2 linked regions of the Arabidopsis thaliana genome follow. The protein of the gene in region 1 purifies or fractionates together with the protein of each later gene. This does not show direct contact. Each region holds a gene or a part of one and is shown in the gene's direction. Other genes may lie near its edges.

Region 1 (5,390 bases):
TGCTTCAAAAAAATGTTGCATATCATTTATTTATATATGTTTCTTTACATGCAGATTAAGTGCTTATATGTCAAAAGCAGACAAAGTTTTGATCATTGAAAGAGTGATTGAAAGCTTAGGATTACAACATGTAAGAGACTCGTTGGTTGGTACGATAGAAAAAAGAGGAATCTCTGGAGGACAAAGAAAACGTGTGAACGTTGGTGTTGAAATGGTCATGGAACCTTCTCTATTGATATTAGATGAACCCACTACAGGTTTAGATAGTGCATCTTCACAATTACTTCTTAGAGCACTTCGACGTGAAGCACTTGAAGGTGTTAACATTTGTATGGTCGTCCATCAACCCAGGTATGTTATCTCCTCCATGAATTATGTTACAATTTTATGTTAAGAAATACTTTTTGCTTAATAATTGGTTTTTTCCTCTTATTAGTTATACAATGTACAAAATGTTCGATGACATGATAATACTAGCAAAAGGTGGTCTTACCGTGTACCATGGATCAGTCAAAAAAATAGAAGAATATTTTGCTGATATCGGAATCACGGTTCCCGATCGTGTCAATCCTCCTGATCATTATATAGATATTCTTGAAGGCATTGTGAAACCAGATGGTGATATAACTATAGAACAACTTCCTGTGAGATGGATGCTGCACAATGGTTACCCTGTGCCTCACGATATGTTGAAATTTTGTGATGGACTTCCTTCCTCGTCAACTGGATCAGCTCAAGAGGATTCCACTCATAATTCTTTTAGTAATGATCTATGGCAAGATGTGAAAACTAATGTGGAGATTACAAAAGATCAGTTACAACACAATTACTCGAATTCTCATGACAATTCTAATCGAGTAACTCCTACCGTAGGTCGACAATATAGATATTTTGTTGGAAGGTATGATTTTTCTAGATTTGATAGATGGAATTTTGTGGTTAATTTCATATGTACATTAAAACTTTAGTCTATCTATTTCAGGGTTGGAAAACAACGGCTTAGAGAAGCAAGACTACAAGCGTTAGATTTCCTAATATTATTAGTTGCGGGAGCTTGTTTAGGAACTCTTGCGAAGGTGAACGACGAGACAATCGATACACTTGGCTACACATACACCATAATAGCTGTCTGTAAGTTTCTTACGTACACAAATATTAATTTACATTTACTAGTATTCGCGATTTTTGGAACGTTAACTAAGCTCTTTTCTGTATGTCTTTCTTTTTTTGTAGCTCTTTTGTGTAAGATCTCGGCATTGAGATCATTCTCTGTAGATAAATTACAATATTGGAGAGAAAGTGCCGCTGGAATTAGCAGTTTGGCACATTTTATGGCTAAAGACACAATGGACCATTTAAACACAATTATGAAACCTTTAGTGTACTTGTCCATGTTCTACTTCTTCAACAACCCGAGATCTAGTTTCGAAGACAACTACATTGTACTAGTATGCTTGGTCTACTGTGTAACAGGCATGGCTTACATTTTTGCCATATTGTACAGTCCTAGCGCCGCACAATTGGTTTGTCCTCACTTTCTCATAATTCATATATGAAGGAACCAAAATTTTCACTAACCATATGGTACCTGAATTTGCTGTTATGTTCTTGCAGTTGTCGGTGTTAGTCCCCGTTGTTATGACTCTTATCGCTAATCAAGATAAAGAAAGCATGGTCCTTAAGTATCTCGGAAGCTTTTGCTACCCCAAATGGACTCTCGAAGCCTTTGTCCTTTCCAATGCTCAAAGGTAGAAAGTTTGAAGATTTAATTCTTCTAACACATAATCAAATCTTAATTCAGAAAATTTGATTTTGGACTCTTTTTTTTGGGTTAGGTACTCTGGAGTGTGGGTGGTGACTAGATGCAGTTCATTGTCTCAAAACGGATATGATCTTAGTGATTGGATATTGTGTCTCATTGTTCTCGTTCTCATGGGACTAATATGCCGATTCATAGCTTATTTCTGCATGGTTACATTCCAGAAGAAATAATCTAATAATTACACATGATTAAAAAGCTTACATTTTGTAAAATTCTTCTATTTTTCATACGTTAAATATTAAATGAGTTATATAAGTAGTTTATAGAATTAGAGAAGAAGGGATTTTAGAATTCCAATTTTGTAATTTTTATTTGTAGATAATGGTGATTATTCATCATGCTTTTTCTTTCTTTATATGGTAACCGGTTTTGGTAAGATAGAGTCATACAGAGAATGATATACAAAGAAATCGGTTTATTTTCAGTTACGATTCTTTGGTTTATATGATCCGGTTTAATTGGTTACTAAGATGATGTCGGAAAGAGAATAGGGAAGCGGCGTAACTAAAAAACACGACACGATGATGAATTCGGCGTTTCGAAACGTTCACATCACTGCGTCTCGTTTGATAAACCCTAAGCCCTTTTCTTCTTCGATTCTCCATTTTCTTCCTCTCTGTTCCGGCGACGCTTCTCCTCGCCGTTCCAATCCTCTCCGGCATAGAAACTCGGTGTCTCCTTCATCTTCCTTTCCCTTCTGTTCGACTTCTTCCTTTTCTTCTTTCTACATTCCTATGGCGGGAGGAGATGGTCAGGTGTCTCATTCGCTTGAGAAGCAGTTCGAGAGTTTCCGTGTTCAATTGGAAGAATCTGCAGCTTTGAGAGAGCAGATTCGTGCTGTGGTTATGGAGATTGAGTCTGCTACTAGGCTTATTCAAGCTAATCTTCTTCTCGTTCATCAATCGCGTCCTATTCCTGGTAAATGATTAGTCTTTAGGTTAAAAATTGCATCTTTTAGCTAAATGTTTGAAATGGCTTGATGGGTTCAGAACTTGGTGATGAAGTTCTCTATGAAGGGAAGTAACTAAAAATGAAGAACTTGTTGAGAAAAGAATGAATATTGAATTACACATAGCCTTTGTTCTTTTAAGAAATTCATTGGAAGTGTTTGGTTGTTACTAATATAGATTGCTCGTTTTGTTGATGGATCAGAGGTTATCGAGAAAGCTAAGGAAAAAATCGTTGATTTGAAGCAGTATTATGGTCGGCTTGCTGAAATTCTTGAGGAGTGTCCTGGACAATACTATAGGTAAGTTTGAAAGCTATGTGTAGTTAGATTTTCTTTATTTGCAATGGTTTTTTGTTAAAAGGTTTTTGTAATGTAGGTACCATGGAGACTGGAGAAGTGAAACACAGGCAGTGGTCTCCCAGCTTGCTTTTATGCACTGGCTAGAAACTGGAACTCTTCTCGTGCATACCGAAGCTGAAGAAAAACTTGGGTGTATGTCTCTGGATCTCAATTTACTATTTTCCTTACTTCCAAATACTGAAATACATATCATGGCCTAGTGGTTGCACTATAAATAAAACCTTATTTTGTTTTGCTAGTTCTCTCACAAACTTTTGTATAGAAACTTCCTTCCCACAATAGGTAACAACTGAGCTGGCAGTAGGCAATCAATTTGAAATCCGTTCATGACTCCAACATACTATACGTGTTATCCTGTGACCCTCCTTTTGCCTGACCTGTCTCAGTTGGAAAAACTAAATGAACGAGTTTTCTACTTTTCTCAATAATCAGATTCAGTTTGCCACTAGTCTTCTTCTCTTATCAGTATGTTAATTAGTCTACCTTTTCTTGCTCGTTGTTATTGATTTTGTCCTTAGGCTTTGTTTCAGTCTGCATTTTATCCACTGTAGTGTCAACCATTTAGCTAAGATTTGATTTTTTCACCTCAATAGAGTTATTAGTTGCCGTTTCCCATGAACTCAGTTATTCTCCCTTAGGATGGATGGATGATAATTGGAAGGTTGGTTTTTCATTACGTTGGTGTAGAATAGATATTTGCCCAAGTGTCGTTTTGTTTCAAATCTGGGTTTTGTTATCTTGTCAAATCAATTGTCTTTGAGTAAAATAAACAGAACAAGGTGTTGGTCAATTCATCTGCCATTATGGCTCTTCTAATTCCACTTCATTGTACTTCAGTGAACAGTTTGGAGTTTGGATTGGAGACAGAAGATTATCTCACTGGTAAGTTTCTGAGAAAGAACCCATATTTGCTCTGGAAGGCCAATATCTATAGATCAAATATGCCTTACGAGCATTTTATGAATCGCAACATTGCTTTTATATTCTCTGATCTTCAGCTTTTTGAATACTTTGCAGGAATTTGTTTCATGTCAAACGATTTGGTAAGATCATTTTTATCCCTAAATCTTACTTTCCATCTTCCCCCTTAGCATCCTACTTGATAGCAACTTATGAAAAACCTTTGGATAAATGCAAATGGGTGATGCAATGTTTGAGCAGCCTAGGTACGTGGTTAATCGAGTGACAGCAGGAGACTATGACTGCCCAAGAAAGGTGATGAATTTCCTGACAGATCTTCATGCAGCCTTTCGCATGCTCAATCTCAGGAACGATTTCCTGCGCAAGAAATTCGACAGTAAGTCATACATATCTCTAACTGCTCTTCTTTCTCCATTTGCGATGGTTACATAAAAAAAAAATCGATTTTGACATGTGACAGGTATGAAGTACGACCTAAGAAGAGTGGAAGAAGTTTACTATGATGTCAAGATCCGAGGTTTGATTTCCGGCGGAGATCCTCCTGGCGTCCAAGCAGTCCAAGGCCAATCCTAAATGTCCTCGGCTCTTTTTAAGTTTTTATGTATAACTTTGTTTAGCTAGCATGAAAACGTCAAGGAGTGTTCTTCTCTAAACCAAAAACGGCAAGGAAAATAGAGAGACTGTAGTTTTTAGGTGTAGTTTGCAATTACTGAAAACGGCAAGTATTCCTTTTGTGGGCCTTGAAAGCCCACATTTTAGTCACAACTTTACTGTTATCCGAAGTCAGCAGCTTAATAGTATAACAGTAGATGTTCATGAACTCCACCTGTCCATCGTTGCGGACTTGAAACGCACGTTATATTTGACGGTGTCTTACGTCATTTTGGATTTCAAAACTAAATAAATCAGCTTTTGGAATCCGAAACAAAGACAAAAAAACAAAATCCAAGTCTAACAGTCGCCATTTCCCCTCCTGCGTCAGTGTTCTTCGTCTCCTCTCGTCGTCTCTCTTTGGTATCTTTTTTCTTAGCTTCGAGTACTATTCTTTTCGCTGACATTGTGTTAGATTCTCTCTTGAACTTGAACGATCTCTTTTCCAACACAAATGTAATGTATGATATCGTTCGATTTTTTCTCGGATTGTTAGTTTCTTCAAATTGCAGGTGTTTAGTTAAAGGAAGGGGATAAGCTAAGCAGCTGGATTTTCTTTTCTTTTCTTTTTTTTCTTCCCTGGAAAGTTATATTTTTATTATTATTTTCTAATGTAACAGCTGTGAGTCGTCTCTATGGCCCACATTATACGTATATTTCTTTTATGTTTTTTTTTTTTTTTCTATA
Region 2 (4,460 bases), about 14 Mb from region 1:
TTGAATCGAGTTGATAAGTACAAATCAATTTTGTCGATTTTTGAGTCTTGATTCTGTGATAGGGGAATTTAAATGTTAAAAGGACTAATCAAAAACAAATAACAAAAATATCATTTCAAATAATTGGTTAGAGTAATTTAGCAATTTAAAAACTTTTGGAGTTTTTTTATCTATATTAAGAAAAAGAAAAGTATATATCACATAGAAAGTATATAATATAATATCACATGCATAACTAATGTCAAGTTTTTTTTTTCTGAAATTATGAGCCGAATATGTCTTCTTATAGTTTTTTTTTTATGCATAGTGATTTAGTTTAGAAATGAGGTATAGTAGATAAATAACTTTTTTTTTCTGTGCGCGAAACTTAGTAATTAAAATAACATCCGCTAAAAACTAGGATTGAACCAGCAGTAAATTGCGAGAGAGAAAAAAAATTCTATTTTAATTTGTTGATATTTAATTTTTAAGTTTTCTTAATTTATTACGCCAAAGAGTATATATTTTACAGTAAGTATATATAGAATAAGATTATGAGTTGGTCATCACAAATATTATTGTTTTGTTAGTTATATATAAAAAAACATTTGTAAAATAAATTAAAGTATAATATGTATGTTTTATGGATTACAAGTTTTGGGGATCACCTGTTATTTATTTTTTTAACAATACCATTGTCATTTATGAAAATCAAATTAAACCAACCCACCTATTGAATTTGTCTCGCATCATGCTAAGATATTTTGCATACTTTTGACTGACTAATCTTCAAAAATCCATCTAATGACAATGAATAATATAATCTGATTAATCCATATGATAACACTAAGTATTGTAAATTTGTTTAATTTTGTAACCTAGATACATATAAACAGTCATATATCATCAAAGTTATGATCCATAAATTATTGACAAAAAAAGTCATGATCCATAAATTGTTGAAAAACAATTCATAATCCAAATGATTATACTACTTTAAATGGAAGACATAATATAAAGTGTTTGTTGATTCATGCCCGTTTGAGAGTTACTACACTTGAAACTGAAACTTAGAGAAAACAAAAAAAACAAGAAAATTATCTGAATGACAGTCGAGGTTACACAATTCATCACTAAGAAAGAAAACATATATTTTTTCTCTAGAGAGTTACATTTTCTAAATCATTGTTTCACGGTGGTTTATGAAATATTTGGCAGCAAAGTCACACTGATGAGTAAATTTTGGCTCATGAAAATTTAATAAATTTTGGCTGGTAAACAAATAGATAATATGTTGTGTGAACAAAAACGTATAAGTTTGAGGAACAACCAAATATAGTTATATGTTTGCTTAATAGACTTAGCTTTCATTTTTTCTAAAATGATATCCATAAAATTATTATAAGACTCATAATTTATTATGTGACATTTTATAACATAAATTGTATGTAAACCTAAGATATATAAAATAATTTTAAAACTAATTTTCGATTATTCTTCGATTAACCGAGTAATCATTAGGACCCATCGGCTGTCTAATTAACGACTAACAATATTTTGAACATGGAACAAAACTAATCATCTATATAGGAATTACCATTTAAACGTAAAACCAACAATTACTAAATGCTCATTTATCATTATGAAATCAAATTAGTATTAAACTCAAATCCAATTAGTTCAAAATATTCTCTAACATCTACCATCATAGTTTACAAGAATGTTGGTCATCTCAAATTGATTTATGCACTTTATTGAACACTTTTTGTACATAAAATAAGCTAGGTTGTAGAACACATTCAAAATTAGGAAAAGAAAAAAACAATATACTGTAAATTAACCTTAATTAAAAATACCATTCAAAACCGTGGAGAAAAAATGAATCAATCAATCCTAATTACAAAAAACTGGTGCTGCCCAGGATCGAACTGGAGACCTTTTGCGTGTAAGGCAAACGTGATAACCACTACACCACAGCACCTGATGTCTCCTTATTCTCTCGTTTAATATTTAACTTTCAAACTAAAGCATCGCGAAATAAACCTTTGGGCTTCGAGTGAGCATCGGAGAAATCAGACAGATGTTGAGTTGTTCTTCATCGGCGTTCCAAAGAGTAGCCTTTATGCTTATGGCTCCCAAATTAAAACCTCAGAGACTCCATCAAAGTATGTATACACACTCACTTCTACATATATCTATTGCTTTGTGTGGTCTTTAGTGTTGATTAGTAACGATGGTTTTGGTGTTTGTGTAGTTGCAGAGAGTGGTGTTGAACATTTGGTTAAGAAAGCTAGGACGATGAGTACTGAATCCTCAATGAAAGATGCTTTCTCTACTTACGCTGATTATCTCAATAACTTCGTAAGTGTTTCCTCTGCTCCATTGTTTCTCCTGGGTTTATCTGTTTGTTTATAAAGATTGAACCTTTGCGTCATGGGATTGAGTCCTTTAAGTAAGGTTTATAGGTTTAGACAACTAAAGAAATGATCTTTCATGTTGCAACTTGGGTTTTGTAATAGATTCTATAGCGAATTGAGAATAAAGGAGGAGGCTTTATCTGGTTTCTATGATTGTTTCTTTGTAGAATGAGAAGCGAGAAAGAGTGGTGAAGGTAAGTCGTGATATCACAATGAACAGCAAAAAAGTTATCTTTCAGGTTCACAGGTAATTTCAACACCTCTGTTGTTTTTGTTTGTGTTCATCAAGATTTTGTGTGTTTTTGTTGTGTTCTTCATCAAGATACTGTTTGTTTGTTTTGTTTACTATGTTGTTATATGGCAGGCTCAGTAAAGACAACAAAGAGGAGGTATTGGAGAAAGCAGGGAAGGATTTAGAAGCAGTGAGGGATCAACATTTTGCCCGGCTAATGAAAGAGCTTCAAGGGACTGATTTTTGGAAGCTGAGACGTGCTTATTCCCCAGGGGTTTGTGAAACGGAAAATCATTCATCTTTTGGTACGATTTTGGTTAATGGTTTAACTGATATGTTTTGTGGTTTTGTGTAACTTACAGGTGCAGGAATATGTTGAAGCTGCAACGTTTTATAAGTTCTGTTTGTCTGGGACGCTATGTACTCTCGATGAGATTAACACAACGCTTGTACCACTTAGTGACCCTTCTTTAGAGCCGTTGCAGATCAATATCCTCGACTATATTCTTGGGGTATTTTTTAGACCATCTTTATTTATGGTTAATACTTACTGTCAAAGATGTTCTCTATTGTTTGGAGTTCTGAATTATGTTTGATTATTGTTTGTTACTTGCACAGCTTGCAGATTTGACGGGAGAGCTAATGCGGATGGCAATTGGTCGCATATCAGACGGTGAAATCGAATTCGCGCAGAGGATTTGTCAGTTTGTTCGACAGATTCATAGGGAACTAATGCTAGTTGTGCCAAAGATGGATGACAGTTATGACATGAAATCCAAGATGGAAGTGATGCTTCAAAGTGTGATCAAAATAGAGAACGGTATGCACAAATCTCATATCCGCACACTATTAGATACCAACCAATACGTTTTTGTAACTCTTTTTTGTTTGTTTGTTTATTAGCTTGCTTTAGCGTTCACGTGAGAGGATTAGAGTATATTCCACTGCTTGGAGATAATGCACCAACATCATACCTATTGGGAGCTGCTGATGTCGAATGATTAAAAGTGAGTGGTCTTTTCCGTCTCTCGGACACATTTTAAAGTTCTTGTTAAGGTTGGTGTGTTTGCGACAAGTAGGATCGTTTTAGTATGGACTTATCTTCAGAGAATTTTAGCCACTTCTTACTTCTGAGGAACTTTAAATCTGTATGCTGCAAGACTTTTAAGAAACAAATGGTTAGAACTAGATGTAAAACTTTTCTTTTGTTGAATGGAAGCTAATTTATAATAGAATCTAGCAATTACTTTATTATTCAAGTTAATAATTTTGGCCCTTCTTCACTTTTTCTAGATCTTTCGTAATCCAGAAAGTACATTTTTTGGTTCTTGCTGTTTGTTTGTGCTTAATGAGGAAACATATATAGATACTCTTATCTTTTATGCAGCTACATATAATGCATCTTATTATAGTTCGACATTTGGTACTTTTATATAGGATTTTGACATTTTTTATAAATTTATATCTATCATTCATAGATAGAGTTTTATTTTGAAATCATAAATCTTTCTTTTGTAAAGAAAGTGATAAAAATAGAGAAAAATCTCACATTTTAAGATGTTCATAATCTAGTTATATATAGAGTTATGTGCAAGCAATACCACAATAGTACAATCTGTGTGATATGATTATTGGGTTTTGATGTTTTTCCTTTTTATTTTTAAGATTTCATGGCTTATATAAAGGATTTTTATGCTAATGAAAACACAACTTCCAACAATTAGCCTCTAAGAGAGACTTGGGTTAAGAGGAAGCTTGCTTTAAATCTCTTTGTTCTTTAAGCTTGAGCACTTCTTTGCAATTCAATCATTACTGAGATAACAGAGGGTCCA

The links.
Region 2: the proteins of AT2G37020 (region 1) and AT2G03780 fractionate together in Arabidopsis thaliana (co-fractionation; one large-scale study listed by BioGRID). This does not show direct contact.

Annotation. Positions count from the first base shown.
Region 1 is NC_003071.7:15,544,168-15,549,557, forward strand, and holds AT2G37020 (Translin family protein), read left to right. Parts: upstream 1-2,246; 5' UTR 2,247-2,343; coding exon 2,344-2,740; intron 2,741-2,974; coding exon 2,975-3,071; intron 3,072-3,147; coding exon 3,148-3,263; intron 3,264-3,968; coding exon 3,969-4,013; intron 4,014-4,148; coding exon 4,149-4,174; coding exon of another isoform or gene 4,175-4,222; exon of another isoform or gene 4,223-4,292; coding exon 4,293-4,428; intron 4,429-4,512; coding exon 4,513-4,625; 3' UTR 4,626-4,870; downstream 4,871-5,390. Other genes in the region: NAP12 (non-intrinsic ABC protein 12), read left to right, coding at 49-351, 437-901, 983-1,131, 1,234-1,523, 1,615-1,748, 1,836-1,992.
Region 2 is NC_003071.7:1,151,885-1,156,344, reverse strand, and holds AT2G03780 (Translin family protein), read left to right. Parts: upstream 1-2,022; 5' UTR 2,023-2,059; coding exon 2,060-2,144; intron 2,145-2,176; exon of another isoform or gene 2,177-2,233; coding exon 2,234-2,340; intron 2,341-2,563; coding exon 2,564-2,643; exon of another isoform or gene 2,644-2,743; coding exon of another isoform or gene 2,744-2,760; coding exon 2,761-2,902; intron 2,903-2,990; coding exon 2,991-3,140; intron 3,141-3,246; coding exon 3,247-3,448; intron 3,449-3,531; coding exon 3,532-3,629; 3' UTR 3,630-3,899; downstream 3,900-4,460.